4 linked regions of the Arabidopsis thaliana genome follow. Each later gene encodes a partner of the first gene's protein in a complex. Each region holds a gene or a part of one and is shown in the gene's direction. Other genes may lie near its edges.

The links.
Region 2: ERH3 (region 1) and AT1G11160 share a complex: the UniProt entries of both Arabidopsis thaliana proteins name them as parts of the KTN80-KTN1 complex.
Region 3: ERH3 (region 1) and DWA3 share a complex: the UniProt entries of both Arabidopsis thaliana proteins name them as parts of the KTN80-KTN1 complex.
Region 4: ERH3 (region 1) and AT5G08390 share a complex: the UniProt entries of both Arabidopsis thaliana proteins name them as parts of the KTN80-KTN1 complex.

Annotation. Positions count from the first base shown.
Region 1 is NC_003070.9:30,204,814-30,210,099, reverse strand, and holds ERH3 (P-loop containing nucleoside triphosphate hydrolases superfamily protein), read left to right. Parts: upstream 1-1,831; 5' UTR 1,832-2,049; coding exon 2,050-2,177; intron 2,178-2,408; coding exon 2,409-2,880; intron 2,881-3,211; coding exon 3,212-3,409; intron 3,410-3,578; coding exon 3,579-3,823; intron 3,824-3,898; coding exon 3,899-4,057; intron 4,058-4,142; coding exon 4,143-4,230; intron 4,231-4,319; coding exon 4,320-4,601; 3' UTR 4,602-4,786; downstream 4,787-5,286. Other genes in the region: AT1G80360 (Pyridoxal phosphate (PLP)-dependent transferases superfamily protein), read left to right, coding at 101-160, 252-408, 488-653, 729-837, 912-1,364. UniProt on the Arabidopsis thaliana protein: Severs microtubules in vitro in an ATP-dependent manner. Required for oligomerization of functional KTN80-KTN1 complexes that catalyze microtubule severing. This activity may promote rapid reorganization of cellular microtubule arrays.
Region 2 is NC_003070.9:3,731,246-3,739,094, forward strand, and holds the start of AT1G11160 (Transducin/WD40 repeat-like superfamily protein), read left to right. Parts: upstream 1-1,838; 5' UTR 1,839-2,160; coding exon 2,161-2,185; intron 2,186-2,551; coding exon 2,552-2,682; exon of another isoform or gene 2,683-2,878; coding exon of another isoform or gene 2,879-2,908; coding exon 2,909-3,026; intron 3,027-3,181; coding exon 3,182-3,408; intron 3,409-3,493; coding exon 3,494-3,596; intron 3,597-3,736; coding exon 3,737-3,807; intron 3,808-3,943; coding exon 3,944-4,018; intron 4,019-4,105; coding exon 4,106-4,249; intron 4,250-4,325; coding exon 4,326-4,485; intron 4,486-5,002; coding exon 5,003-5,479; intron 5,480-5,566; coding exon 5,567-5,755; intron 5,756-6,080; coding exon 6,081-6,137; intron 6,138-6,230; coding exon 6,231-6,970; intron 6,971-7,071; coding exon 7,072-7,185; intron 7,186-7,274; coding exon 7,275-7,349; intron 7,350-7,433; coding exon 7,434-7,546; intron 7,547-7,649; coding exon 7,650-7,766; intron 7,767-7,849. UniProt on the Arabidopsis thaliana protein: May participate in a complex which severs microtubules in an ATP-dependent manner. Microtubule severing may promote rapid reorganization of cellular microtubule arrays.
Region 3 is NC_003070.9:22,562,846-22,570,503, forward strand, and holds the start of DWA3 (Transducin/WD40 repeat-like superfamily protein), read left to right. Parts: upstream 1-1,649; 5' UTR 1,650-1,939; coding exon 1,940-1,964; intron 1,965-2,256; coding exon 2,257-2,387; intron 2,388-2,482; coding exon 2,483-2,600; intron 2,601-2,807; coding exon 2,808-3,034; intron 3,035-3,129; coding exon 3,130-3,232; intron 3,233-3,375; coding exon 3,376-3,446; intron 3,447-3,785; coding exon 3,786-3,860; intron 3,861-3,950; coding exon 3,951-4,094; intron 4,095-4,201; coding exon 4,202-4,364; intron 4,365-4,891; coding exon 4,892-5,329; intron 5,330-5,424; coding exon 5,425-5,682; intron 5,683-6,020; coding exon 6,021-6,077; intron 6,078-6,168; coding exon 6,169-7,355; intron 7,356-7,540; coding exon 7,541-7,654; intron 7,655-7,658. Other genes in the region: AT1G61200 (homeobox-leucine zipper protein-like protein), read right to left, coding at 188-315, 488-575. UniProt on the Arabidopsis thaliana protein: May participate in a complex which severs microtubules in an ATP-dependent manner. Microtubule severing may promote rapid reorganization of cellular microtubule arrays.
Region 4 is NC_003076.8:2,699,393-2,706,979, forward strand, and holds the start of AT5G08390 (Transducin/WD40 repeat-like superfamily protein), read left to right. Parts: upstream 1-1,566; 5' UTR 1,567-1,850; intron 1,851-1,926; 5' UTR 1,927-2,055; coding exon 2,056-2,083; intron 2,084-2,358; coding exon 2,359-2,489; intron 2,490-2,635; coding exon 2,636-2,753; intron 2,754-2,868; coding exon 2,869-3,095; intron 3,096-3,540; coding exon 3,541-3,643; intron 3,644-3,967; coding exon 3,968-4,038; intron 4,039-4,134; coding exon 4,135-4,209; intron 4,210-4,352; coding exon 4,353-4,496; intron 4,497-4,599; coding exon 4,600-4,942; intron 4,943-5,052; coding exon 5,053-5,574; intron 5,575-5,873; coding exon 5,874-5,933; intron 5,934-6,023; coding exon 6,024-6,145; intron 6,146-6,381; coding exon 6,382-6,516; intron 6,517-6,642; coding exon 6,643-6,717; intron 6,718-6,808; coding exon 6,809-6,921; intron 6,922-7,059; coding exon 7,060-7,176; exon of another isoform or gene 7,177-7,266; coding exon 7,267-7,335; exon of another isoform or gene 7,336-7,451; coding exon 7,452-7,518; 3' UTR 7,519-7,587. Other genes in the region: AT5G08391 (transmembrane protein, putative (DUF 3339)), read left to right, coding at 1-174. UniProt on the Arabidopsis thaliana protein: May participate in a complex which severs microtubules in an ATP-dependent manner. Microtubule severing may promote rapid reorganization of cellular microtubule arrays.

The DNA of each region.
Region 1 (5,286 bases):
AACCTTTCTTGTATCCAATAAAGTGACCACTTTTGCTGCTCTTGAATCCAATTCCGTGACTGAGCTTGTTTTATTTTTGATTCCTTGTCTTGTTCTGAAGCTGCGTGAAGAAAACAAGCTAACCAATTCACAAGTGATGGTTACTGCAGGTGCCAATCAGGTATAACCTGTCTTTGTTTACTCTTTTGATTGCTCTTCCTTCTGTTTTCTTCTACTCTCATACTCTGTTTCTGTTTTTGCATCTAATGTAGGCGTTTGTGAACCTTGTTATTACATTATGTGATGCTGGTGATTCGGTTGTCATGTTTGAGCCATACTACTTCAACTCCTACATGGCCTTTCAGATGACAGGAGTCACCAACATAATTGTTGGTCCTGGCCAGTCAGACACTCTCTATCCTGACGCTGGTACCTCCTTGATTCTGTATCACGTTTTTCATGACTTAACATAGCTTTAGTTGTGACCAGTGAATCATTTTTGTTCCAGACTGGTTAGAGAGGACACTGTCTGAGTCTAAACCGACTCCGAAAGTTGTAACTGTTGTGAATCCTGGTAACCCAAGTGGCACCTATGTCCCTGAACCGCTGCTTAAGAGGATTGCTCAAATATGCAAAGATGCAGGGTGCTGGCTGATTGTAGATAACACATACGAGTGAGTTTCTCATTTCCTTAATTCCTATGATGTCCAAATTGAATGTAGTAATAAGCGGGGATTTGAAAATCGCAGGTATTTCATGTATGACGGTTTAAAACATTGTTGCGTTGAGGGAGACCACATTGTTAATGTCTTCTCTTTCTCTAAAACCTATGGCATGATGGGTTGGAGGCTTGGATATGTGAGTGCTCGATTCAATTCTATTCCAAACTAAACACTGGGATTGTCTTATAAAAAGGTTTGATGGACCTGCAGATAGCTTACTCAGAGAGATTAGATGGGTTTGCAACAGAGCTTGTGAAAATTCAGGACAACATCCCAATCTGTGCTGCCATAATCTCGCAGCGACTGGCTGTATACGCATTAGAGGAAGGTTCTGGGTGGATAACGGAACGGGTAAAGAGTCTAGTGAAGAACAGGGATATTGTGAAAGAGGCGCTTGAGCCGCTGGGGAAGGAGAACGTTAAGGGAGGAGAAGGAGCGATATACCTGTGGGCAAAACTGCCAGAGGGACACAGAGATGATTTCAAGGTGGTGCGGTGGCTGGCTCACCGCCATGGTGTGGTGGTGATCCCGGGGTGTGCAAGTGGTAGCCCCGGGTATCTCCGGGTTTCCTTTGGAGGGTTGCAGGAGGTTGAAATGAGAGCTGCAGCGGCGAGGCTGAGGAAAGGAATAGAGGAGCTGCTTCACCATGGAATGGTGGAGTGAGACGTTGTTTAAAGAAGGGTCAAAAGATGGTTACTTTGCGTTTGGTTGAAGCTATATAGTTGTTTTAAAAAGAAATAAAAGAGTGTTTGTTTATTCAATAATCAATATAGCTGATTCTTCTTTACAAAGTCATTGTATTTGGGATGTTGTTACCAATGGTTGAATCCTTAACCCCTTTGGTGTATGTATATACTCTTTACTTATTCAAATGAATAATCCAGCAATGAATGCAAAAGCAAAAACTGGATCAGCTTTATTCGTTATGAGTCTTTCTCTAAATTCAAAAATTTAAATTCGAGTCTTATGATTGACGTTATGACTTGTGAGAAATTGATAATCTGGCCTTTTATTTGAAATTTTAATTTCTGAACCCAGAGGATAAATAAAGTTAAAATCGATGATGATTTTAGGCTTTATTGGTTTGAAAGTGGGCCGTAGATGGGCCCGAATCTAAAATATTTGAATCGAACCCGAATAAAGAAAGAGAGGTTGGATCATAACTACCATCGACGTGGCTTCCATCTTCTTCTACTTTGTCTTCCATCTTCGCCGACGAGTCACATCTCCGAAATCCGGAGCCGGAGAGGGAGAAAGAAGGAGAATTTGGGTTCTCCGAGATCGAAGCTCTTGCCTCGGAACCCTTGATTTTGTTTTGGAATAGGCTATTTTTTTAGTAAAAGAGGAAATGGTGGGAAGTAGTAATTCGTTAGCGGGTCTACAAGACCACTTGAAATTAGCGAGAGAATATGCACTAGAAGGATCCTATGACACATCTGTCATCTTCTTCGATGGCGCCATTGCTCAGATCAACAAGTAAGTAGCTCCTCTTATCTCTCCAGTCTTGAATCTAGCTTTTTTGTCACCCCTTTTGGCAATTTCTTCAAGCCCTAAGCTACTTTAATAGTTTCGTGTTGGATTGTATTGAAATGGGCTTAGAAAAATCTAGAATTTTGCAATGTTCACCGTGCAATGTCTGTGTAGACAGAGATAGAACACTCTTATGTGCTGCGTTAGTGGTTCTGAAGCTATGGTATACTGTTTTAGGCATTTAAACACCCTTGACGATCCTTTGGCCCGGACCAAATGGATGAACGTTAAAAAGGCCATAATGGAAGAGACGGAAGTTGTGAAGCAATTGGATGCAGAGAGGAGAGCATTTAAAGAAGCTCCCACTGGGCGTCGCGCTGCTTCTCCACCTATCAATACCAAATCATCCTTTGTTTTTCAGCCCTTGGATGAGTATCCAACTTCATCCGGTGGTGGTCCTATGGATGATCCTGATGTGTGGAGGCCTCCTACCCGTGATGTTACTAGTCGAAGACCCGCCAGGGCTGGTCAAACTGGTACTAGAAAATCACCTCAAGATGGGGCTTGGGCTCGTGGCCCTACTACACGGACCGGTCCAGCTTCCCGTGGTGGCAGAGGTGGGGCTACTAGTAAGTCAACTGCAGGTGCCCGCTCTTCCACTGCCGGAAAGAAGGGAGCTGCCTCAAAATCTAACAAGGCTGAGTCTATGGTAAGTTATATGTTTTTGCCTTTTGGTATTGCACAATAGAGAAGGTTAAACTTGAAAATTTTCCATCAATCAATATTGACTATGGCATTTCCATTTCCATTACTTTACTTTGGTGATAGACAGGATGTCATGAAACTTCGAAGTTGTTATGTTATAGTAGGACTGATGTATCAAAGATCATGATTTCTGTTACGTTTATGAATGTCTAATTCTGAAATCTGTATTTAGAAACTTTAGAGTCATGGCCATGTTTCCTGTGGTTATGTTGAGTCGGTAGTTTCCACCTATTTTCAACAACTAATAAAACTTTCGGCTTCCTCGTTGATATCAGAATGGTGATGCTGAAGATGGGAAGTCAAAAAGGGGATTGTATGAGGGACCTGATGAGGACCTGGCTGCTATGCTTGAAAGGGATGTGTTGGACTCAACTCCTGGTGTCCGTTGGGATGATGTTGCAGGTTTGTCTGAAGCCAAAAGGCTGCTTGAGGAGGCAGTTGTCCTTCCTTTATGGATGCCCGAATACTTTCAGGTACTTTGATTCTGCTCCATACGCTGTGAAATTTGGATTCTATATTACTATTATTAGACATGGAGCAATCATACAGAATAACAGTTTCAATTCATCATTTCCGTAGACTTTATATTTGATCTTCCAGGTATAGAGGATACTTAATTTGATTGTTTTTGTTTCCCTTCAGGGTATTCGAAGACCATGGAAAGGAGTTCTCATGTTTGGTCCTCCTGGGACAGGTAAAACCCTGTTGGCAAAAGCTGTTGCAACTGAGTGTGGTACCACCTTCTTCAATGTATCTTCTGCTACATTAGCTTCAAAATGGCGTGGAGAGAGTGAGCGCATGGTCAGATGCCTGTTTGATCTGGCTAGGGCATATGCTCCAAGCACAATTTTTATTGATGAGATCGACTCTCTCTGCAATTCTCGGGGGTAAATTTTCCTGACGATACTGAGATTTCGATACTGAAATGAAAAGTATTTGTAATTGGTGGAGGTGTGATGCAGGGGTTCTGGAGAGCATGAATCATCAAGAAGGGTGAAATCGGAACTCCTAGTTCAAGTAGATGGAGTGAGCAATACAGCGACAAATGAAGATGGTAGTCGCAAAATAGTAATGGTATTGGCAGCTACCAACTTCCCGTGGGACATAGATGAAGCTCTCAGGTTTAAATATTCTTTGAGTTAATGCCGTCTTTAGACTTGCTCTAATATAATGAAATTGCTGATTCTGGAGCTCACGTTGGTGCAGGAGGAGGTTGGAAAAACGTATATATATCCCACTTCCAGATTTTGAAAGTCGTAAGGCTCTTATCAATATCAATCTGAGAACAGTTGAGGTTAGTTGTGGATACATTGTTACAACACTCGCAAATCTCTCTACTGGTCCAACGCAATCAATTTAGCAATGAACATTGTCACTTTTCAGGTGGCGAGTGATGTTAACATTGAAGATGTGGCCCGGAGAACGGAAGGGTACAGTGGAGACGATCTGACTAACGTGTGCAGGGACGCATCAATGAACGGGATGCGGCGTAAGATAGCGGGGAAAACGAGAGATGAGATAAAGAACATGTCGAAAGACGATATATCAAATGATCCAGTGGCAATGTGTGATTTCGAAGAGGCCATTAGGAAAGTGCAACCGAGTGTGTCTTCCTCTGATATCGAGAAACACGAGAAGTGGCTCTCTGAGTTTGGATCTGCTTAATTAAACCCACTTTTTTTAATTTAGTGTCAAAAGATGTGTGCCTTTTCTTGTGTGTTGTTGTTTATTGTATCATTATTATTATTTGCCAGTCATTTAACATATTCTTATGTTTCTATATTCCAAACTTGTAAACCTCTACGAAAAAAGAAAAGGATTATATGATTTTCTTCGGTTTTTTGGCTTCAGACTTAGTGTTCATAATTTCTTTACTGTCTTAGAAGAAAAAAACCAGCAAAGAATCACCTTGGTCTTTGTATCTCCAATACGTTGCAATCATTTTGAAAGTATTTGTATATTTTGTAAATGATAGGGATTGAAACATCATCCTATCGTTGACCAAAAATTTCACTGCGTGCTATATAAAATACTATATATGTTACCCTTTAACTGATGAAAATGTAAAGAGACAAGGCAGCACCGTTTATCATCAGACCAGTTTCGAGAGTGTTCCTGCATCGTTGGGCTCCCTCCTCAATTTTGTCTACGTGATTATATATCATATCGTCTACAAACAAAATAAATACAATTCTATCATATGAATATGTGATCATCGATGATCGATCAATATATGTTTTCGAGGTGACGTATATAGTATATTTCCGTAGAGACGGCGAAGAACATGATATCTCTGCATGCCTCCAATCAAATCTTTACACTTCATCCTTCTTCGTTACTTGTTCAGTTG
Region 2 (7,849 bases), about 26 Mb from region 1:
CGGCTATTGCTGGTTCAGATCCGATGCATATTGACATGTGCACTCTGGATAATGGTTTGTGCATGTCGAAAAGAGAACCGAATACGTTGGTCCAAGAGATTTGGAGGTTGAAATCATCAGAAGACTCATGGGAGAAGATTTGTACTATAGATTTGCTTTCATGTTCTTCTTCCCGGACTCAGTTTCGTGATGAATTTTACTGGGACGAGCAGGATTTGGTTAATCCATCCACACCTGTGGCGTTATGCAAGAACAAGACAATTTTGCTCTCACATCGCTATTCCCGCGGTCTGCTAAAATATGATCCCCTAACAAAGTCTCTAGCTTCATTTTACCAACGTCCTTTGTCTCGGAGAAAAGTTTCTTATTTTCAAAGTTTAATCTCTCATATCTAAACAAATCTACCTACTGATTTTGACGTGTTTGGAAGAGACGAGAAGAGCTTTTCTTAAAATATATACAGTATTGGGATTATACATGAATACTAGCCAAAACAAGAAGTTAGTGACTACTAAATAATGAAAGCAAAAAACAATCTAAAACTATTTTACTATATCACATAATAAAATTGTACTTTTCAATATTCATAAAGTACGTTTGAGTTGATTTCAGATTTTATGTCAATCAATCTGTGGAAGTAACAAACATTTCTTATCGAAATAAATGATCTTCTTTTTACTTCACCAAATAAAGTCGTTGATTGGGATTGACCCTTATTATGCAAGAAAACTTAAAACACCAAAACATGGGAAGCACTTAGATCATGTTATGCTCTTGTCCAAAAGAGAGACAAATTATAACACGGGAACTAGAGTAATAATTTATAACTATAAAAAAACAATTTAATACAATACAAGCAAATGTCACATATCATAAACCAGGAGATCTTCACCAAATATAACTTTTACAAACCTTGATTCCGTGATTATCTTTTTGGGTTTTTATAATGTGAAAAAAAAATATCTTACTACTATATGATTACATTTTGGAAGTGAGAAAACAGTTGACCAAAAAAGTGTGAACATTGTATTGAACGTTTAAACGCAAATACATGTGTCGTAGGAACAAAAACACTCAAACACAAATATTCAAAACGTGATTAACAGTTGTTAAATCAAACTTCAATCAACCTCTTCTTTCAGATCAATTAATCTACCCACAAGGCCACAACCAAACTTTGAAATTTTCATTGTCTTTTTTTTTAGAATCAAGAAGTGGTAGTTAATTAGTCATTTAGTATGATCTAGTTGTAGTAGATTGTATCCGTGTATTATTGGTTATACGAAAAATTCAATGTGGTATAAAATTCAATATTAATTCAGGCCGTTGAGTTGGTTATATTAAAATGGAATTAGTTGACGAGTATTTTATTTATTTCAATCAAGTTGTGTGATTGACATCTTAAAAAAAGTGTTAAAACGTATTGCGATTAACCAGTAATACTTGTTATTTTTCTTTTTCGTCAAACTGAACATAGTACTTTTTAACTTTGTTTTTTTTTTTTCCTTTCCTGTTACTCAATCATGATAAAAACAATATTTTAAAACCGACAATAAAAAAACAAAACAATATTTTAAATTTGTAATCCGTTAGTTGTGACTTGTGAGTGCTATATTTATATTTAGGTTGATTTATACGTGTAGTAGAAAAGGAAGGGTATTTTCGTCAGAAAAAGTAACGACGAGGGTCCAATATTCTGAAGTTTTCAACGATTTGTGTGTGTATTATTCTCATCATCAATGACATAAATAAACAAAATAAAATAAAACATAACAACCGGAAATGTGTTTTTTTTTTTAATAAAGAATTGAAAATGACAGAATCTGAGAAAAAGGACGAAAAATTCGTCGCTTTACTTTTTTTTATCTTCGTCTCTGTTTTGTTCGTCTGCTCGTGCCACTCTTTCAAAAAATCTCTTCTTTTCTTTCTAAGTTCTTCTTTAAATCTCTAATCTCAGCAGGAAGCAATCTCTTATGTCTCAAGTTTCTATTTTCCGAATCTCCCAGAAATCTTCAACTCTGTCTTGTCGTCTAGTCACATTTTGAATTTTTAAACCAGCTCCGACATTTTTTTGTTTTTAATTCTTTTCGATTCATAACAAAGGCTGGTGATTTGGCTTCAGCTTCCTAGTCGCATGAATCTACTGAAATCGAGTAGAAAATGGCGAAGCGTGGATATAAGCTACGTATCCTTTTATAGTTCTTCATTGGTGCTATATTATTGGAAACTTGTAACCTGAATAACAAAAGATACAAACTTTAGCTACATATTTGATTTATTTTCACCCCTAACTTTAGAAATTTGATGTTGTTCATTCACTGTAGCGTTAGGGTTTATCTGCATTGGTGGGGTTTATGTTCTTTTTTTTGTTGGTAAATTGTTATTTGAGATTTTTCATGAAAATGTTCTTCTGGGTTCTAATTTCTGCCTCTGTCATCTTAAAAACCAAACCGAGTTCAGATGATAGAAGAGACATTGTTATCTCTGTTTGTCTTGACTTTTTCTTTCGTTCTGGATATGAATTTTTCTTGACTTGGATTTGGAAAATTAGAGGAGTTTGTGGCACATTCTGGAAATGTGAATTGTCTAAGTATCGGAAAGAAGACGTCACGGCTCCTTCTAACAGGTGGAGATGATTATAAGGTCAACCTTTGGTCAATCGGCAAAACCACTTCTCCAATGGTCTCTTTCACATTTCTCTCTTTTTTTAATTTGTTCATTCTCGCTGGTCTTCATTTGCAATTTCTTATCTGGTTTCAAGATTTGCCACTTATAGCTATAACTACAGTTATTTCAGCTAATGTGTATGAAAATGTCAAAATTGTGGTCCCTCTTGGTATAAAGCATGTAACATCTTGTTTCTCTTCATAGAAGAGTGATGATATTTTATTTTATGTGTTGTTGGCAGAGTCTTTGTGGGCATACAAGCCCGGTTGATTCAGTAGCTTTTAACTCAGAAGAAGTTTTGGTACTCGCTGGGGCTTCTTCAGGTGTGATAAAGCTGTGGGATCTAGAAGAATCAAAGAGTAAGCTGATTAATTTTCTCTTCTCATATATTATCCCTAGATTATATTAGAGGCACTCACACTTGTTATTGTCTGGACGAATTATAAGTCCTGTGATGGATGGTTAGTTTCAGATAATGAGGTCTAATATTTTCACTCTTGCTCTTGAAGTGTAGTGGTTCGAGCTTTTACTGGACACAGATCCAATTGTTCTGCTGTTGAGTTTCATCCATTTGGTGAATTTCTTGCATCGGGATCTAGTGACACCAATCTAAGGGTTTGGGATACCAGAAAGAAGGGATGCATCCAAACATACAAGGGTCATACTCGCGGCATCAGCACTATTGAATTTAGCCCTGATGGTCGTTGGGTAGTGTCTGGAGGACTTGACAACGTTGTAAAGGTAAGAACAGCAGTAACGACAAGTGCATTGTTTTGTTCCTTAATGATTGTTCTTATAACAATGTACTCTTTATTGTACTCAATAGGTATGGGATTTGACTGCTGGAAAGCTATTGCATGAGTTTAAGTGTCATGAAGGACCTATTCGCTCCCTAGACTTCCATCCGCTGGAGTTTCTCTTAGCCACTGGTGAGTTTTTAGCTTTTCTTTTCATGTGTTTTAGGGCTGAATTGGTAGCAGCTTTCTTTTAGTTGATAAATTACTGTTTTGCATCCACTAGGTTTGTTTTGAGGTCTTCTGACTTCATATACCACCCTTTCGTAATTCAGGTTCTGCTGACAGGACTGTGAAATTCTGGGATTTGGAAACGTTTGAACTGATTGGAACTACTAGACCAGAGGTACCTGAGCTTGTGTTTTGTTATTAATCTGTCCTGTTTAGCGTTGGATTCACTTTATAGTCCATAAGATAAGACTTAGTTTTACTTGCACTATTGTCAACCTTCTTCCTGGCATGTGGTGTCCTTTGTTTTCCAGGCTACTGGAGTTCGTGCAATCGCTTTTCATCCAGATGGTCAAACCCTTTTCTGTGGATTGGATGATGGCTTGAAGGTTCTGATTGTCTTTGTGCTCAACTATACAACTTAGATGATGTCCAGAGTCAAACACTGATATTATAAGTTCATGCACATAATGCAGGTTTATTCATGGGAACCAGTGATTTGCCGGGACGGTGTTGATATGGGATGGTCAACACTTGGTGACTTCTGCATCAACGAAGGAAAGTTTATTGGTTGCTCATATTACCGAAATTCTGTTGGGATATGGGTTTCAGATATATCGGTATGTAACCGAATGTGAATGTCCATACCTCATGTGAAAAACTTAAACTTGTATTAAGTTCGTGTTTGTTTCTCAGGAACTTGAGCCATATGGAGCAGTATCTGAGGATAAGAATGAATGCATGGTGAAAAGATTTAGTGTCTTGAATGATCAGTCTGAGAGAATGGGAAGTGGCCCAAGGGGCAGCGTATCCCCAGATTATGAGACAAGAGAGATAAAGAACATATACGTCGACTGTGAGTGAATGTTAATTATGTTTTTATGTTCATTTGCTTTGCAAGTGTGGTATGGCAGATATATGCTAGGCCTTCATCTGTCAGTATAAATGACCTGTGATGTAAGAGGTTATCTAGTTGCTATCTTGGCACCTGGATGAATGCTTGAAATGGTTTTTGACTTAGTCAGAAGTGTTTTTAATGTAAACCATTGCAACTGTAGTAGGAACTCTTGTGATCAGCAACACAAAAAGGTATCTAGACTTTAAGCATGTTGTCACAATATAGTGCTGTGAACTCTTTTGTTTATACTTAAAAATTTTGTAGGAATTGAAATGAATGAGTCCAAAATGCAAATCGCAGTATTCGTTATTGTATGGAACAAAGTAGTCTTTAGACAATAGTTGGGGGAGCTGACATGTGATTTTTTGGCTTTGATGTCTGTTTCTTGGCCAGATCAACATAATATTTCTATGTCATTCACTTATGTGGGCTAATTCCTTATGTTTGGTCTGATTTGAACTCTCTTTGTTTAAAGCCACAGGTGGAAATTTGAATGTAGCGCAAAATCCAGGATCTCTGAAAGCGACATTGCCTTTGGAATCAGGAAAAGTAGCTACTATGGTGAGCGAGAAGCAGAATGCAGCATATTTTGGACCAGCAGGAGACAAGTATTCTAGTACATCGCGGGATAGTGATAGTGGAGAGGAATCTTCTTATTCAGAAAGGGAATCTATCCCTTTCTCAAGAACGAAATCGGGCATGTTGCTAAGACCAGCACATGTAAGAAAGACGCTAGCAAAGTTTGAAGAATCAAAACAGTCAGCGGTTGTTCAATCTGCAACTCGAAAGAAAAGCGGATTGGCTGTTGAGGAGGAACCACAAACTCAAAACGCGTTTCTTTCAGAACAGAATGCTAGTAAACCTTTTGATGCTGAAGATTCTATCATCAAGGGTATTACTAACAAGTTTGAAAAAGCTTTATCATCGGAACCACCAACTGATGAAGCGAATCGTAGGTTCCCTGTTCTCAGACTTTAGTTTCATGTAGCTTTCAGATATTTTAATCTATCTTTTGAATATCTCTGCAACCTTGCCTCAGGTATGTTCCTTAAACCACCTCGTATCCATAGGTCATCAAATAGCAAGTACAATGACACAAGACGAGCAATGTCTGCTGATCCGGCAACTTTTGGCAAAGGTGGGATGGAGAACTCAGGAGACGTAGAGGATATTCCCAGCAAAACTGAAAGAGTTCTTTCACGAGAAAAACCTGGCGATGAACAGAAAAGTAAGTTCTTGATTCAAAAATTAAAACTGACTAATATATGGCCATTTTTTCTATTAAAGCAAACGCCAAATCTTATGCAACCTTAATGTGACTGGCTTTGTGTCAAATATGAGTGAACAAAAAGACAGCCCACGATGCCAAAAGACATCTATTAGGAAGAGCTACTAGACTATATCTAGTTACTATAGATTGCTACTATCTAAATCTTTAGCTACTGTTAGAACTTGCTTCGAATTCTTCATCATCCGTAGTCTGTGGTTCACGTACTTGGTTTTGAGACAATGATCAATTAGTAATTGACCGGTATAAAATTTCTGTTCTGTAGACACTGAGTACCCTAGCGGCAGCAGAGAATTGAACCCTGTGAAGATTGTTGAAGGAGGTTAGGAATTTAAAACTTTTGCTGTTTCTGTTTTTTCTTCTTAGCATTTAAGTTGGCTGGCTACAGTTTCCTTATAAATTGATATGTTTACAGTAAATGTTGTCTCGGGGAGGACACGCTCCTTAGTTGAGAAGTTTGAGAGAGGAGAAAAAACTACTCATACTGAAGGAGCCAGTACAACAATAGAACAGAACAATAATGCAGTGCAGGAAGATCCGCGTAAGACATCAAGACAGACAGGTGAAACTCCTGTCATATCAACACGACGAGCTAGGAGTACTCCAGCCAGAGTGATGCCTATTGTTCTCAATCGGGATAGTAACGTGACATCTGATGAGCCTCCTTTAACACAACCAGCTAGGACTTCTTCATTTCCAGTGATGCCTGTGATACTCAATCAAGCTTCTAATGTCACATATGATGAGCCTTCTGTAGCGTTAACACAAGAATCTAGAACTTCTCATGCCCGTATATTGCCTGTGACATTCAATCAGGCGACAAATATTACATCTGAGGAGGCTTCTGTAACATTAAGGCGCCAACGCAGGAATTCTGCAGCACGAGTAAGGCCTGTGTTACTCAGTCAGGCAACATCTCATGAGTGTCCTGTAACATCAGTACGTCCATTAAGGACTTCTCCAGCCCGTGTAATGCCCACGAAACTAAATCAATCTGTTAACATGACATCTGATACATCTCATATAGCATCCATGCACCGAGTTAGTCCAACACAAATGTTGGCTACACCCACTGTGATTGATCAAGTGGCTGATATGACATTGGATGAGACACATGCAACACAAATTCAACCAGCTTGCGATAACATGCCTCAGGTACTTTGCAATGATTAGCCTAGGCAACTTATTTTTTACTTTGAAAGAGTACTGTATACATGACAAACGTAATTGATTGTTTGGTTTGTGGCTTTGTGCAGAAGGAAGAGCCGAATATATCTGATAGGGAAGATGATAGTGACATAACTGAAAATCTTATGCTAACCCATAACGAGTTCTTAAGCACTCTTCAATCGAGGTTGACAAAGTTACAAGTAAGCATTCTTGCTTCTTTTCTGTTCTTTTCCCTGACCATTATTTGTTTTAGTATTAGTTTGCAAGTGGTTGACTTCTAAACATGCAGATTGTAAGACATTTTTGGGAGCGTAGCGATGTTAAAGGCGCAATTGGGGCATTAAGAAAACTGACAGATCAGTCTGTGGGTATCTCAGATTCTCGGTAGATTACTTTTGTTTTTGATGTTTGTATGTTTAGATAAGCTAACTCATAGATGTTGGGACAGGTTCAAGCAGATGTGATCAGTATTCTAACTGAAAAAATAGAAATTCTCACATTGGATATGTTTTCTCAATTGGTCCCTGTCCTCACAAGCTTATTGGGTAGCAGGACAGAGAGGTAAACATATCATACCAAATTTCCACCTTAGACCATATTTTTTTGCTTCTGAGCTATAACGATTTCATGACTTGGTTTCTAAATGAGAGTAACGACTGTGCAGGCCGGTAAATGTCTCCTTGGATATGCTCTTGAAGCTTGTAGCAGTGTTCGGTACAGTTATACGCTCAACTGTTTCAGCTCCACGGATTGTCGGCGTTGATCTTCATGCAAATGAAAGGTATTTGAGCTAACACCACTCTCTGGAATCTCATTTAGTTTGCTACGCTGATTCTCATTCACCAATAAAAGTAAATAAACCAC
Region 3 (7,658 bases), 7.6 Mb from region 1:
CGGATCTGTTAGTTCCGTTAACACACGTTAATTAGTTTCCATTAATACTCAAAACGACGTCGTTTCATTAAAATAAAAGAATCAAAATTCCCAAATTGATTTCAAAATCCCTAAATTCCAAAAAATCCTTAATTCCTTAATTCCTAAATTCCAAAAACCAAATCCTTAAATTCTAAAAACCAAATCCCTAACAGCCTCTTATTTTCAGCAAGTGGTCGTCGTAATAGTCATCGTCGTAGGGATCCTCAAGGGAGCTAAAGAAAGGCCTTCGCTTTGATGTTTCCTCCTTGTTCATCATCGATCTTGTTCCTCCTCCTTCATAAATTCAAACGAACAACTGCTGTCAATAGTCAATGTTGTTATTCATATTCAAATTGGTTCTCATGTGTGTGTGTTCATCATATTTTATTCACAAGACAACAAAACAAAACAAAAACAGGGAAACTTCCAACATGGTAAAATAAGATTATGAGAGTGAGAAAAGAACCTTGGACAACGGGATTGAGATTCCTAAAGAAGAACATGTTGTTGCCATGTGAAGCAGATGGATTGAAGAAAAACGAATTGGATTCCATTTTGGAATTTAGGGATTTTGAAATCAATTTGGGAATATTGATTCTTTTTTTTCAATGAAACGACGTCGTTTTGAGTATTAACGGAAATTAATTAACGTGTGTTAACGGAACTAACATATCCATTAATGAAAGATAACGGCATGGGGATTTTGGCCTGGTCAACAATAACATTTGTGTGAAATGATCGGTCAACGTTTTTATTATGTTTTATTTAGCCACACAAAAAGTTCACGTATTAAATGACCACTTTTTGAAAGTTCGCGTATAAAACGACATTTTTCCTCTTCTTAAAATCATTTTACTTCATGATCCGGTTATTGGTTCTACTCACGCATCTTTTTTTTTTTACTTAACACATCTTTATACACCAAGATGTTATCTATTGGCACAAGAAGTTAAATAATAAAAAAATAAAAACTGATTTGTCTGAATATGAAATGTTGTCGATGTAATGAAACGGCTCATAAACTAGCAAAATTTGGTTGTTTGAATTCCAGTTCCTACATTGATGTAGCTAAACCGCTACTTTGTCTTGAACAACAGTTGAAATTGAATTATTCAAGCTCAATATAATTCCATTTCGTCAAAAAAAAAAACACACAATTATCATCATAATCTTCTTCTTTTTTTAACGTCAGTTAGCATCCATCATACATCTATGGATTGAAATTACTATAATTCATTCCTAAGGTTGAAAATGTCTTCAAGAAACAAACAAAACCAAGAGATGATGACGTGTTGCCTCACCAATCAAATAATATTTTCGACAAAAGAAAACTAACAAATTATGATGGAGTTGGAGAAAAAAACTGTACCAATAGAAGTCAATTGGAAGCAAGGGTTCTTTTCGTAATTTCCACTCGAATTCAATGCCCGGACAAAAGGGTGTTTTCGTCAGAACCGAGAAGAACGAACAACGAAGAAACTAGAGGTCCACTGTCCAAGAAAAATGCTTAATTATATTTTTAAATTTTTTAAAAAATTAAAAAACCTACCGACCGATTAAAAAAAAAAAAAACTTTCTTCGCTTTATCAAAATTTCTTCTTCTTCTTCTCTGTTTCTTTCTTAATTCTGCTTCGTGTCACTATTTGAATCTGATTTCGTCTCGTTTCTTTCAATCTTCTTCCCCGAATCTGATTCTCTCTCACGTTTTTTGGATTTCAAATCTCAACGGAAAGCGATCTCTTCTCATATCCCTCCCTTTGAAATCTCCCTAAAATCTCGACCTCTGTCGTTTAGTGACAATTCGGATTTTTGTAGCTCCGATTCACCGTTTTAAATCGATTCCGGAAGCTACAGATTCGATTCCAGATTCAAATTTCTATTTCCCCCTCACGGATTCGCTGGAAAATCGAGTTAAAAAATGGCGAAGCGTGGTTATAAGCTACGTATCCTTATATTGACGATTTTGAGAAATTTTAACAGTTTCTTTATCACTGAATCGCTTGGGGTTTATTTCATAAACAAGCTTTGGTTTATTAGCTCTTCGTCAATTTGGTCAAAATGTTTCTATTATTGTTTGCTTAATTAAACTGAGAGCAAATTGATAGAAAAAGACACTGCAATTAATATGTTTGTCTTCTCCAATTTTTTTTTTCTGGATATGCTTTGAATTTATTTTTGTTGATATGTTATTCTCTGTGGGTTTGTTTATAACTTAACTTGATTTTGGAAACTTAGAGGAGTTTTTGGCACATTCTGCAAATGTGAATTGTCTAAGTATCGGAAAGAAGACATCACGGCTCTTTATAACTGGTGGTGATGATTACAAAGTCAATCTTTGGGCGATTGGCAAGCCTACTTCTTTAATGGTTTGTTTCACATTTGCTTTCTTCAGTATGTCTTTGACAGAAAATTTGTGTTTTATTATGGATAGAAGAATGATGCTATAGCCTTTTATTGGCAGAGTCTGTGTGGACATACTAGTGCAGTGGATTCAGTAGCTTTTGACTCCGCTGAAGTTTTGGTACTTGCTGGAGCTTCTTCGGGTGTGATAAAGCTGTGGGATGTTGAAGAAGCAAAGAGTTAGTTTATTGATTTTCTGCTCTCCTTTGTTTTAGAATATTTGTTGCTTCTTTTATGTTGAGCTAGTGTTGTTTAATGGGAATATATTGGATATCATTTGAGTTATCGGCTATGTGGATTATGGGTTTGGTTATTTGAGCAGTGTACCAGACTTTTAGTTTAGAATTATGAGGTCTAACATTTTCACTCTTGCTCTTGAAGTGTAGTGGTTCGAGCTTTTACTGGACATAGATCCAATTGTTCTGCTGTTGAATTTCATCCCTTTGGTGAATTTTTGGCATCGGGATCTAGTGACGCGAATCTAAAGATTTGGGACATCAGGAAGAAGGGATGCATACAGACGTACAAGGGTCATTCTCGTGGCATCAGCACTATCAGGTTTACTCCCGATGGTCGTTGGGTAGTCTCCGGAGGACTTGACAATGTTGTAAAGGTAAGAACAGCATTTTCAACAAATGAAGCTTGTGCATCATATTTTTCAAACTTATGATCTTAGAACGATACTGCTATATATGTTGTATCCAATAGGTATGGGATTTGACTGCTGGAAAGCTTTTGCATGAATTTAAGTTTCATGAAGGACCTATCCGTTCGCTAGACTTCCACCCGCTTGAGTTCCTCCTAGCCACAGGTTAGTCTGTGATTCTTTGTTTTTCAGGCATTATAGGGGTAACTTGGTGTCGTTTTCGATTGGTAGATTAACTACTGACATTTCCTTAATCACAGTTTTATATTGAATTCTTGTGATTTCACACTCTCCCTATTCATATTCAGGTTCTGCTGACAGGACTGTAAAGTTCTGGGATTTGGAAACGTTTGAATTGATTGGATCTACCCGACCAGAGGTACTAGCCTGTGGTGTCACTAGATACTGTTTTCTAGGGGACTCTATAACAAGTGTTTTTTACGTTTATTTCCTGTTAGCGTGATCACCTTGAAGGGAAATCTCACACATAAAAAATATCAGAAATCTGCTTATTCTCGGCCTTGATCTGAAGAGTGTGTTAGAGAAATGCCAAGATAAAATTTAGTTCTTAAAAAGATTTAGAAGTAAATAAAAGTGAACGGAGTCCAGAAAGCAGCATGTGATGAAATATGTTTTGGCGTTGAGCTAGCTTTGTAGCCGTCTCGGAAGATGTTATTCACACAATTTATGTGGTATGTGGTTTTCCTTGTTTTCACAGGCTACTGGAGTTCGTTCAATCAAATTTCATCCGGATGGGCGAACCTTATTTTGTGGTTTGGATGACAGCTTAAAGGTTTTGATTTTCTTTGTGATGAGCTTTACCATATAAAGGGTTCTCCAGAGTCAAAAACATTGATATCATAAGCTGATGTTCATAATTCAGGTTTATTCATGGGAACCTGTGGTTTGCCATGATGGTGTTGATATGGGATGGTCAACGCTTGGTGACTTATGCATCAGCGAAGGAAAGCTCCTGGGTTGTTCATACTACCAAAATTCAGTAGGGATTTGGGTCTCAGATATATCAGTATGTCAGCTATTGTGATTTTCCTCTAAAAATTTATGTCCGAGCTGGTAAATAAGTGTTTTGAAGGCTCATGTTTTTGTTTTTTCTTTTATCCTTAATTAACACAGCAGATTGAGCCATACGGCATTGGATCTGCGGATAAAAAAGAGTGCGTGGAGAAAATACTCAGTGCTCTGGATGATCAGTCCTTCGATAGAATAAAGAGTACCCCAAGGCGCAGCTCATCTCCAGATTATGAGACGAAAGAGATCAAAAACATATACATCGACTGTGAGTGAATGTTAATTTTGTTCGATGTTTGTAGATTCAGTTTTCTACCTTGAACTTATTGAAGTTTCTCGTTTTAGAGTAGGATATGGCAGGTTTTTGGTTAGGTTTTGAGAAGTCCCTGGGCGGTAGCTTACTTATTACTCTCAACCACCTATATCTAGAAAGTGAATCAACATTTAACGATTAGTTGCAATGGACTATTAGCAGAGATCACTGACTCTGGTTTTCTTGTATTAGTGATAGGAAAGCTACCTTATCTTTAGGCCTGCTCTAATCATATATTTTCCGTGCATGTGTTGGTGTATATTCCTAAATTTTGTACCTATTGAAATTGAATGAGACTGAAATGGTGGTCGTCGTTTCTGAATAAATTAAATATCGCTAGCCATAACCACTGTGTGACCTGGACTGTTATTTTTAGTCTTTAATGTCAGTTTCTGTTTTGCGACAGTGTAAATTTCATTTGTCTCTCACTTCTGTATGCTTATCGTTTATATTTGGTTTAATATTCTCTCTTCTCTTCAAAGCTACAGGCGGAAATTCGGCTGTTGCACATAAGTCAGGATCTCTAAGTACTCCAGCAACTTCTACTGGACAAGCAGGGGATAATAAGTCTTTAGTAGTGCATAGTGTTGTTCCACGGGATAGTGATATTGGGAAAGACTCTTCTGATTCAGGAAAGGAATCTATCACTTTCTCAAAAACAAAGCCAGGCATGCTGTTGAGACCGGCTTATGTAAGAAAGACGCCAACAAAGTTTGATGAAACAAAGAAGCAGTCAGTGGCTGTTGGATATCTAAAGAAAAGTGGATTGGATGGTGAGAAGAAACTAGATACTGAGACGGCGTTTGATTCAGAAATGAGTGGTAGGAACCCATATGATGCCGACGATTCTATCATCAAGAGTATCACCAACAAGTTTGAACAAGCTTTATTACCAGAATCACCGACTGATGAAGCAAAATGTAGGTTCTCCCAGTTCATACCTTAGTTTCATTAGATTTGAGCGTTCAGATGATCTAATCCTATCCTTTTGGAAATCTTGCAATCTTTGACTTAGGTATGCTGCTGAAACCGCCTCGTGTACAGAGATCACCAAGTACTAAGTACAATGAGGCAAGATGGGCGACATCTACTGATTCTGGAGCTTTAGACAGTAAAAAGAATGGGTTAGAGTCCTCAAGAGACATGGACTTGCCAACAGGGCTCAGGGATGACAGAGGTAGTAACCCATGTGAGGAAGATATCGAGAACAAGAGCATTTCAAGTAGGTCAGAAAGAGTTCTGTCACCAGAAAAAGCTGGTGATGAACTAAAAAGTAAGTTCCTGATTCAAAAGTGGCGTAGACTAATTAATGGGGATTTTTGCTTCTAAAGCCAATGTTAAAACTAGTGAAACGTTATGTGTTTGGCTTCCTTTCACCTTTTAAAACTGTTAATTAAGAAGAGGTATTAAATTAAAGACCGTCTACAAGAAAAATCAATCTGGAAAAATGAGCCGGCAGAAAAGTAATAGCATTAGCTTGTAGGTTTCTACATCTAAATCTTTAGCTACTTTTAGGGCTTCCTTAACAGTTTTCTTGTCAGTTGTGGTCAAGAGTCTCGGTCTTCAGGCAGCAATCATTTTATAATTGGTTATGAATATTTTGTCATGCAGGCCTTGAATCCCCTGGAGGTAGCAAAGAATCAAAATCTGTGAAGGTTGTTAGAGGAGGTTAGCCATTCAAAGTTTGCTGTCTTTGTTTTTCTTTGGTAGGATATGCGTCATCTGGTTATTGATTCTTTAAAAACTGCTGTGTTTGCAGTAAAAGTTGTTTCGGGAAGGACACGGTCATTGGTTGAGAGGTTTGAAAGAGGAGAAAAAATTACTCATTCTGAAGATAAAGCAGCCAGTGCAACAGTAGTTCATAGCTCTAATTCTGTAGAGGAAGAGCCCCTGACAGCATCGGTACAGACAGTTAGCATGATGCCTACCCAGGTAATGCCAGTTAAACTTGATCAGGCAACTAACTCGACCACAGTTGACGTTCCTGTGTTATCAACACGACGAACTAAGAGTACTCCAGTCAGAGTAATGCCTGTAGTACTCGGTCGGGACACTAGCATGGCAACTGATACGCCTCCTGTAACATCAACCCGACCTGATAGGACTTCAGCTACTAATTTGACATCTGATGTGTCTGGTGTAACATCAAAACGACAAACTAGGACTTCTCCAGCCCCCGTCATGCCAATGATACTCAATCAGACAACAAAAATGAAATCTGATGAGCCTTCTATAACATCAACATGGCCTGATAGGACTTCGGCTACTGATTTGACATCTGATGTGTCTGGTGTAATATCATCACGACAAACTAGGACTTCTCCAGCACCGGTCATGCCAATGAAACTCAATCAGAAAACAAAAATAAAATCTGATGAGCCTCCTATAACATCAACACGGCCTGATAGGCCTTCAGCTACTAATTTGACATCTGATGAGTCTCCTGTAACATCAACACGACAAGCAAAGACTTCTCCAGCCCCAGTTACGCCTGTGATACTAAATCAGCGTCAAACAACTAACATGAAATCTGATGAGCCTCCTGTAATATCAACAAGACCACTTAGGACCTCTTCGGCACGAGTAATGCCTGTGATACTCAATCAAGCATCTACCACGTATGATGAGCGTCCTTTATCATCTTCACGATCGGCTAGAACTTCTCCTGCCCGTATAATGCCTATGAAACTCAATCAAGCAGATAATATGCCATCGTATGAGCCTCCAGTTGCATTAACACGATCAGCTAGGAACTCTCCCGCCCGTGTAATTCCTGTGAAACTTAATCAAGCAACAAATGTGACAGCTGATGCATCTCATATAAGATCCAGGCAAAGATTTAGTCCAACTCAAACGCTGGCAACACCTGCAGTATTTGATCAGGTGACTGATATGACACTGGATGAGACTACAAAAACTCAACAATCTTCTGATATCTTGACCCAGGTAAGCTTCAATTAATAAGTTTTGGAAACTAATAGACAGCGTACTTTCTCCAACTTCGAAATGTAGTTTGTTGTATAATTGAATATAGTCGCTGATGCTATACAGAAAATATGAAATTGCTAGGATTACAAAGTTGGAAGAGCTCTGAATACATAACAAGTATTTGATTTGTTTGGCTTTTGTAGAAGGAAGAGCCTCAGATATCTGGGAGAGAGGATGATGGTGACATTTGGGAGATTTTAATGCGAACTCATAGTGAGGTCTTAAACACTCTTCAATCACGGTTGACAAAATTACAGGTAA
Region 4 (7,587 bases), on another chromosome or scaffold:
CTCTTCGTGATGCTTACGCCAGGGCTTCTGTTTCAGTTGCCGGGACGACAAAAGTACGTTGAGTTTGGTAATTTTCAGACAAGCGCTGTCTCCGTTATCGTCCATTCTCTTCTCTACTTCTCCCTTGTTTGCGTCTTCCTTCTCGCACTCAAGATTCACATCTACATCGGCTAATTCATTAGTTTCATCCCTCTCTGCGCTGTGTTTTCCAAGTTTTCTTTAAAAACTAGTTAACCTTAAATCATTTGTTCAATATTTTAATTCCAAATGCTCTTTCCCATGGTCCATTAATCCTTTGTATCGATCGGACCCTTTTGCTTTAATTATGTGTTTACCTTTTCTCTTCTTGTAAACACAAATACTATTATGTTTTAAAATAATCATTGCATTAATTAGTTACCTTATTATATACTACTATGTGAATTTAATCCCGAAAGATGAGTAAGTCTGCCATTAAAGCTGGACATTCGATTATTTGATTGCACGCTAATGAATGCAAATACTCCAAGCAGTCATGAACAAAAAAGTAGTCTATATATACATGTGTGTTGAAGTAATATGCATCTTGAATGTGCAATTCAAATGAGCCAATCACCCTGACGTGTAAACTCGGTTATTCTGAATATAGAAAACCTGATTCTTTGCTTACTAAAGAGTTAAAAGACAAAAACTACACCTACATGCAATCATACATTACATCGAATGCACATATGAGAGAAAAAAGTTGAGACAGAACGAAACAATGGATCTAATTAATGCTTAAAATCCATTTGAACAGAATTGGATATATGAAAAACAGAAGCTTCCTTAATAAAAGTAAGTACTGAACAATATGCATTAAGTACAAAACAACACTACCTAGACAAACAAAGGTTTAAATTTACAACCCATTACAATACAAGAACTTCAACCAACTAAGAGTAGGACCTAAGGAAGATCATAATTTGTTAACAGGGATCCAAAATATCTTCTTTGTTATCATTATCTTCAAATCGTAGCTAGTCATCTTCTTTCTCCTCATGAGTGTCATTAATCTCATCAAGTTCCTCCGTCTTTGAAGACGTAGGTCTCCTAAACCAAGTCACCAAACCATATTATCACCTAAAAAGCAAGAAAACGTTTGTGTTTAGAAGAAACACACACACAAAAAAAAGGACAACAGAGAATTTGTAATGCATAGTTTAAAGGGTATGCTACATTCTACATATCCTCTTATAAAATCTCGTATATGTTGTCAGGAAATTTAATCGGAACAAAATTCAATTTACAAAACCTAAACCGATTAGGAAACCAAAACAAACCGGTTATCGTTCTTCTTTACGACAATCACCTATTAATAATTGCACTAGAGCACCGACAAGAATTTCAATTAGGATAAAGTATAATTTAGATTGGTATGTTTTTAGTTTGAATTTATAACTGAATCAAATATAGTTCTAACAATTTTCAGGAATCAACTTTTACTTTAGTTTGGTCTGTTTGAACTCGGTAGATTAGAAATGTTACGTTTTTGCCAAAATAAATGATTTTTTTTTTGAAAAAATGAGTTTGGAAATTTGAAAGAGAAGAAGAGGTAAGTAAAATAATAAAGCAGCTCCCTTTCTCTCTCTGCTTCCTTGTGTGTGTCTGTGTGTCATTCACATCTCCCTCCTCTCTTCTTCACCATTAGAGGAGAGAAAACACACTTTCAAATATATATATAAGTATAACTCATCCAACAACTCCATTTTTATCTTCTTCGTAAAGGAAACAACGACGTTTACTCCAAGATACTGTTCCTCAATCTGCATTCTTTTCCAATCGATCTAAATTTGGTTTCTGTGCTGAGATTGGCTTTCTGGGTGTTGCTGGTATGCTATAGTTTCTTCACCTCTTCGTATGGATTGGTTCCCCATTTCGTTGTTACTGATCTATTCGAGATTTCAGATTGCAAATTGCTGTTGACAAGCTGAGATCTTAAGGTGCTTTTGCAGTAGCTGAGATTTTTCGAGGTTTTTGTCTGTTCGTGAGTAGAAGAATTTGGATGGTCGCCGATGTAAGGGTTTCGTTTCCGCTATGAACACCAAGCGCGCCTACAAGCTCCGTATCCTTTTCTCTCTGATTTCATCTTTTAGGGTTTGTTTATTTCTGGGACTTATTGATTGACTCCAGTGTCGTGCTTGATCTGCTGCTTTTTGCTCTGGTTCACGAGATCTGTATGCACTTCGTAGCTTTGTGTTTTGAGTTTTTTCAAGTCATTTATGACATTTCGGTATCTGTGTGCTTCTAAATTTATAAACTTTTAGTCAATTTCTTCTTTGACTAGAGTCTCATCCCAGAGTATTGCTTAGCCTTGACTTATGTGATACATTTTATAAGAGGAATTTGTGGCACATTCTGCTGCTGTTAATTGTCTTAAGATTGGGAGGAAGTCCTCCAGGGTTCTCGTTACAGGCGGAGAAGATCACAAGGTTAATCTATGGGCTATTGGTAAGCCCAACGCCATCCTGGTTAGTTCTCATTTCTCCCTCCCCTGCTTCTATTGCGGAATGCCTCGGTATATAGTTTAGGGGAAATGCGACATACTTTAGATATAATGTAGTTGAGCGGGTTGGAATATTTTCTGTCTGAGTACTTGTGGTTGTTTTGTGGTCAGAGCTTGTATGGGCACTCTAGCGGGATTGATTCAGTAACATTTGATGCTTCGGAAGGCTTAGTAGCAGCAGGAGCTGCTAGTGGTACAATTAAACTTTGGGATCTGGAGGAAGCAAAGGGTAAGTTCAGTAGCTCTATGAGCATCTAAATTTACTCTTCTCATTCTCTGTTTAGTCAGCCACAGCCGGCTCGTATATTTACTGAGTATGTTATTTTGGTTGCATCTTTGGGTAGTTGTCAGAACTCTCACTGGTCACAGGTCAAACTGCGTATCCGTGAATTTTCACCCTTTTGGTGAGTTTTTTGCTTCTGGTTCTCTAGACACAAATCTCAAGATATGGGATATAAGAAAGAAGGGCTGCATCCATACTTACAAGGGTCACACTAGAGGGGTCAACGTACTCAGATTCACTCCAGATGGTCGTTGGATTGTATCTGGAGGAGAAGATAATGTTGTCAAGGTTTGTAGCTGCCTTTTTCCTTTCTTAGTATGTATTGGGGAGGAAAACTAGGGAGTCAACTTAATAGAATTCAAAATTTCTATTTTTTCGAGGATACTTTGAAGAACAATACCACATTTTGTGAAATAGGCATAAACTGGTTCTGAGAGATGGTAGTCAAAGTCTTGAACAAATATCTCAGAGTAGGCTCTTTATGTGTGGATGAGAACATGTGATTGTTTACTTTAATGATACCTCTATGCGGCTGACCTTACTATCCTAGGGGGAGAATTTTTCTTAGTGCTAAAATACGCTCATACTACCTGATCAACTTGGATACTCGTTATTCTTTGTTTCATCTCAGAGTTTGTACTGTTTACCGTAATTGTTTTCCTGAAAAGCAAGTAACCTGCAAATTTTGCTCTCTCTCTTAACGTTGGACTGATATGTGGGTTGCCTTCACCAGGTGTGGGATTTGACTGCTGGAAAACTTTTGCATGAGTTTAAGAGTCATGAAGGGAAAATTCAGAGTCTAGATTTTCATCCCCATGAATTTCTGCTGGCAACAGGTCTGTATAACTCTAAGTAGGGAAACTTCGTAACATTGAAGCTCCTAGTTTTTCGGGTGACATAGATTTATCACAATGATATGAACCCGATTTATTCTTAAAGTTAAGAGTGCTATAAGCAAAATTACATGTTGTAACTAACCCTGACATCATTAGATCACTGTAGCATCATCGTCTCTTTGTAACTCACAATTTTACAGCTTTCTCATATGTTAAGTGTTAGGATTTGACAGGAGAGAGACTTCAGTAGTGGATATTTCTTCTTATGGCATTGTTTTCCTTACTGTTCATTTGAATTATGTTTGTTTCTGCCTATGGTCTTAGGTTCAGCTGATAAGACTGTAAAATTCTGGGACCTTGAAACATTCGAGCTTATTGGTTCTGGTGGAACTGAGGTATCATGTGTTGTCTGTACTGCTTCTATTTATGCATTGAGTCGAATTATAAGTATTCGATCTTTAATTCAACTTTCTAATATTTTCATTTCTTAGACTACTGGGGTCCGTTGCCTAACCTTTAATCCAGATGGAAAGAGTGTGCTTTGTGGATTGCAAGAAAGTCTTAAAGTAAGTTCTTCAGGATGTCCCAGTTAGAAATATATGAACTTAACAAATTCCTCTTTTAAGGATATAACACTTACACTTACTCCTTTTAATCTGAATATACATGTTTGCTATCCTTTCTTCTCTAACTTCCATGCAAATTGTAGATTTTCTCATGGGAGCCAATAAGATGTCATGATGGAGTGGATGTTGGATGGTCAAACTTGTCGGATATGAATGTTCACGAGGGAAAGCTTCTCGGTTGCTCATACAATCAAAATTGTGTAGGCGTTTGGGTTGTAGACCTCTCGGTATATCTCTCTCTCTCTCCCCCTACATGCTTTGTTATAGTTTGGCCTGTACCATACTTGTTATCTCTAAGCTCTCCATTCAATTTTCTAATGACACTCTCAGCGCACTGAGCCTATGAGTGGAGGCGCCACTCAGTCAAATTCTCATCCAGAGAAAACATCAGGCTCAGGCAGAGATCAAGCAGGTCTGAACGATAACAGCTCAAAGGTTATTCTCGGAAAGTTGCCTGGTTCCCAGAAAGTGGATCCTTTATTGAAGGAAACAAAGTCTCTTGGAAAATTATCAGTTTCTCAAAACTCGGATCCGTTGCCAAAAGATACAAAGTCTACTGGAAGGTCATCAGTATCTCAAAGTTCAGATCCTTTGGTAAAGGAACCAAAGCCTCTCGGAAGGTTTTCAGCTACTCACAGCTCAGACACAGTAAAAGAGTCAAGAACCCTGTCATGTATGTTTTTACTTTGCTCTATTTTTTCTTTCTCTTTTCACTTTTTTGTTATAATTTTGCTGCTTACTAAATGATATCACATCTTTTGGTTTGTCTGCTGTTTGTTGAAGCCACAGGAAGTGTATCAGACTCTCCTCACAGGGTTACTTTGACCAGTGCTCCAAAAAGTGCTTCTGGTATTTCTACAGTTGTCCCTAATGCTGCAGCCTCAAAGAGAAATTTTGGAAAAGCTAACCCAAAGGCGAATCCTCCAGTAGTCAATAAAGAGGATTATTTTCCAGTAATCGTCCCCAGAACGGAGCCAATAATTGAGCAGGCATCTGAATCCAGAGCAGAACTTGACATTATCGGAAGAACTATGCCATATTCGCTGCAGTCAAAGGCCGCTGATTCTCGAAGGCTGTCGAGCAGCAGAAATGAGCCAGATCTACCAACCAGTTCGCTTCTTGAAAGGTCTCAGTCTCAACCTATAGAACCAATCACTTTACAAGATGGGAATACATATCCTAGTGACGAAGGTGGCTCCTGGGATACAGCTGAGAGAACAAATAAAGAGAGCAAATGCAGGGTATTTGGAAGGTTTAATTCAAGATCACTGGTGAGATCACCTCCGAGAAATCACGACGAAAACTGTATGTTTACAAGCCTTTCTAGTCTTCCTTTGTTTTAGAGCAAATATAAATGGCATTTCGTATTGCTAAGACATCGTGGCATCTTAAATCTGGAGAACACTTTTCTAAGTTTCTGAGGGACTTGGGTTTATATTTATGAGATCCTAGGAATCAGTCTTTAAGTATACATGTTGCTTGTAGTACAATTTGTTTCAGTAAAACAACTTTTTGTTTAGTTGGTCCTTCAATATTATAGATAGATGTGTCTGAGTTTTCTGGATGCTGTTCTCAGTTCTGGGCTAACTAACTCTTTATTCCAGCTGACTTGATTAGCTATAATGCAAATAGAGATTCAAGTCCTACTGAAAGCCGAAAAGGAGGTAACTCTTTCCCAACATTCGTTTTTTCTTTTGTTTTTCCCTTTTAATGTGCGTAAGAAAAGATTCTAATTGTGTGCCTTGACATACTAGGAAGACTGCATTCCCTCGTTCTAAATAGGGAAAGAAGAGGAAGATTTTCTAACTTTGAGGGTCCTGTTTCGAGTTCTTCTGGTGGAAATATGACTGCACCAAACAGTCGCCCTTCCAATATGGTAATGGCTTTTAATTTTAGTTTTCTTTTTAATTTGGGATCTGAGACTATAAAATAGAAACTGTAAAAACGAAGAATGAGGAAGGACAAAATAAAGAGTGACGAGTAATTAGTCAGATGTCAGATCCTTTTCATTAGAACTCAATTTCAACTGGGCCTGCATCTTCAGCGTATTGGCAGACATAAAATTTCCCAGTTACTACAGAGATACTGATGACATTACTTCCTTTCATACAGCTCAAGCAGAGAGGAAATCATGTGCCAGTTGATCAAGGAATCACTTCAGCTAGCGAAGAAGATATAGTTGCAGACATAATGGGGCAACACGATCAATTTGTCAGCTCTATGCACTCTCGTTTGGCTAAGTTACAGGTAACAGCATGAAAGTACACTATGATAATGCTTTTGGTCTGTTTCCTAATTAGAATGCTAGCAGTAATCCTTCATAGGTTTCCATAAACATTGTTTATCTTCTAAATAATGTCACCAAATTTGCAGGTCGTCCGTAGATATTGGGAAAGAAATGATATTAAAAACTCGATAAGTTCAATAGAGAAGATGGCTGATAATGCTGTAAGCAACTTCTGTTTGTTTCCTTTCAAATCCATGTATATAAAAACACCACGTAAACATTTTCCACTTCTCATTATTTCATTTGGTACAGGTAATTGCGGATGTACTACTTATAGTAAACGAGAGACCTGAGATTTTGACACTGGATACCTGTACCTCTCTTCTCCCCCTTTTGACAGCTCTTCTAGGGAGCAACATGGATAGGTAAGCAAGTCATTTTGAAGAACATAATGACATGGTTATCTATTAAACTATGAATCTGTAGTATTTTGTTTTTGTTTTATAATTACCGTCTCTGTAGTATTTTGTTTTCGATTTCTAATTACCGTTTCATGTCTCTAGTCATTTGAGTGTCTGCCTTGATTTGCTGCTTAAGCTGGTAAGAATGTATGGGTCACAAATTTACTCGTCGCTTTCCGCTCCCTCATCTGTTGGTGTAGATATTGAGGCTGAGCAAAGGTTGGTCCGAGCTTCAATCTCACCATTCATTGTCGTTTTCGATTGCAATTTACTCTCTTTGGCAAGTCAAATATGATTTTTGCTATTCAGGATGGAGCGGTACAGTTGTTGCTTTGTCGAGTTCGAGAAAATCAAGGCTTGCCTTCCCTCTTTAGCAAGGTGGGTAAATTTCATCTACTGGACAATGAAGAGTTAGATGGTTATCTTCTCTCTTTTTTTGAAGTCTATTATCTTATGTCTTATATATATATATATATCTCTTTATGGATATGTAGAAGAGGAAATTTGGTGGCCAAGACTCTCCATGAACTCAACTTAACATTTCAAGAAGTTTCATCGTGATACTTTTTGGATGTGGATTTGGTTCCAATGTGGAGTTTAACAGTACTAAAGCCTAACTCTACCAAGCTA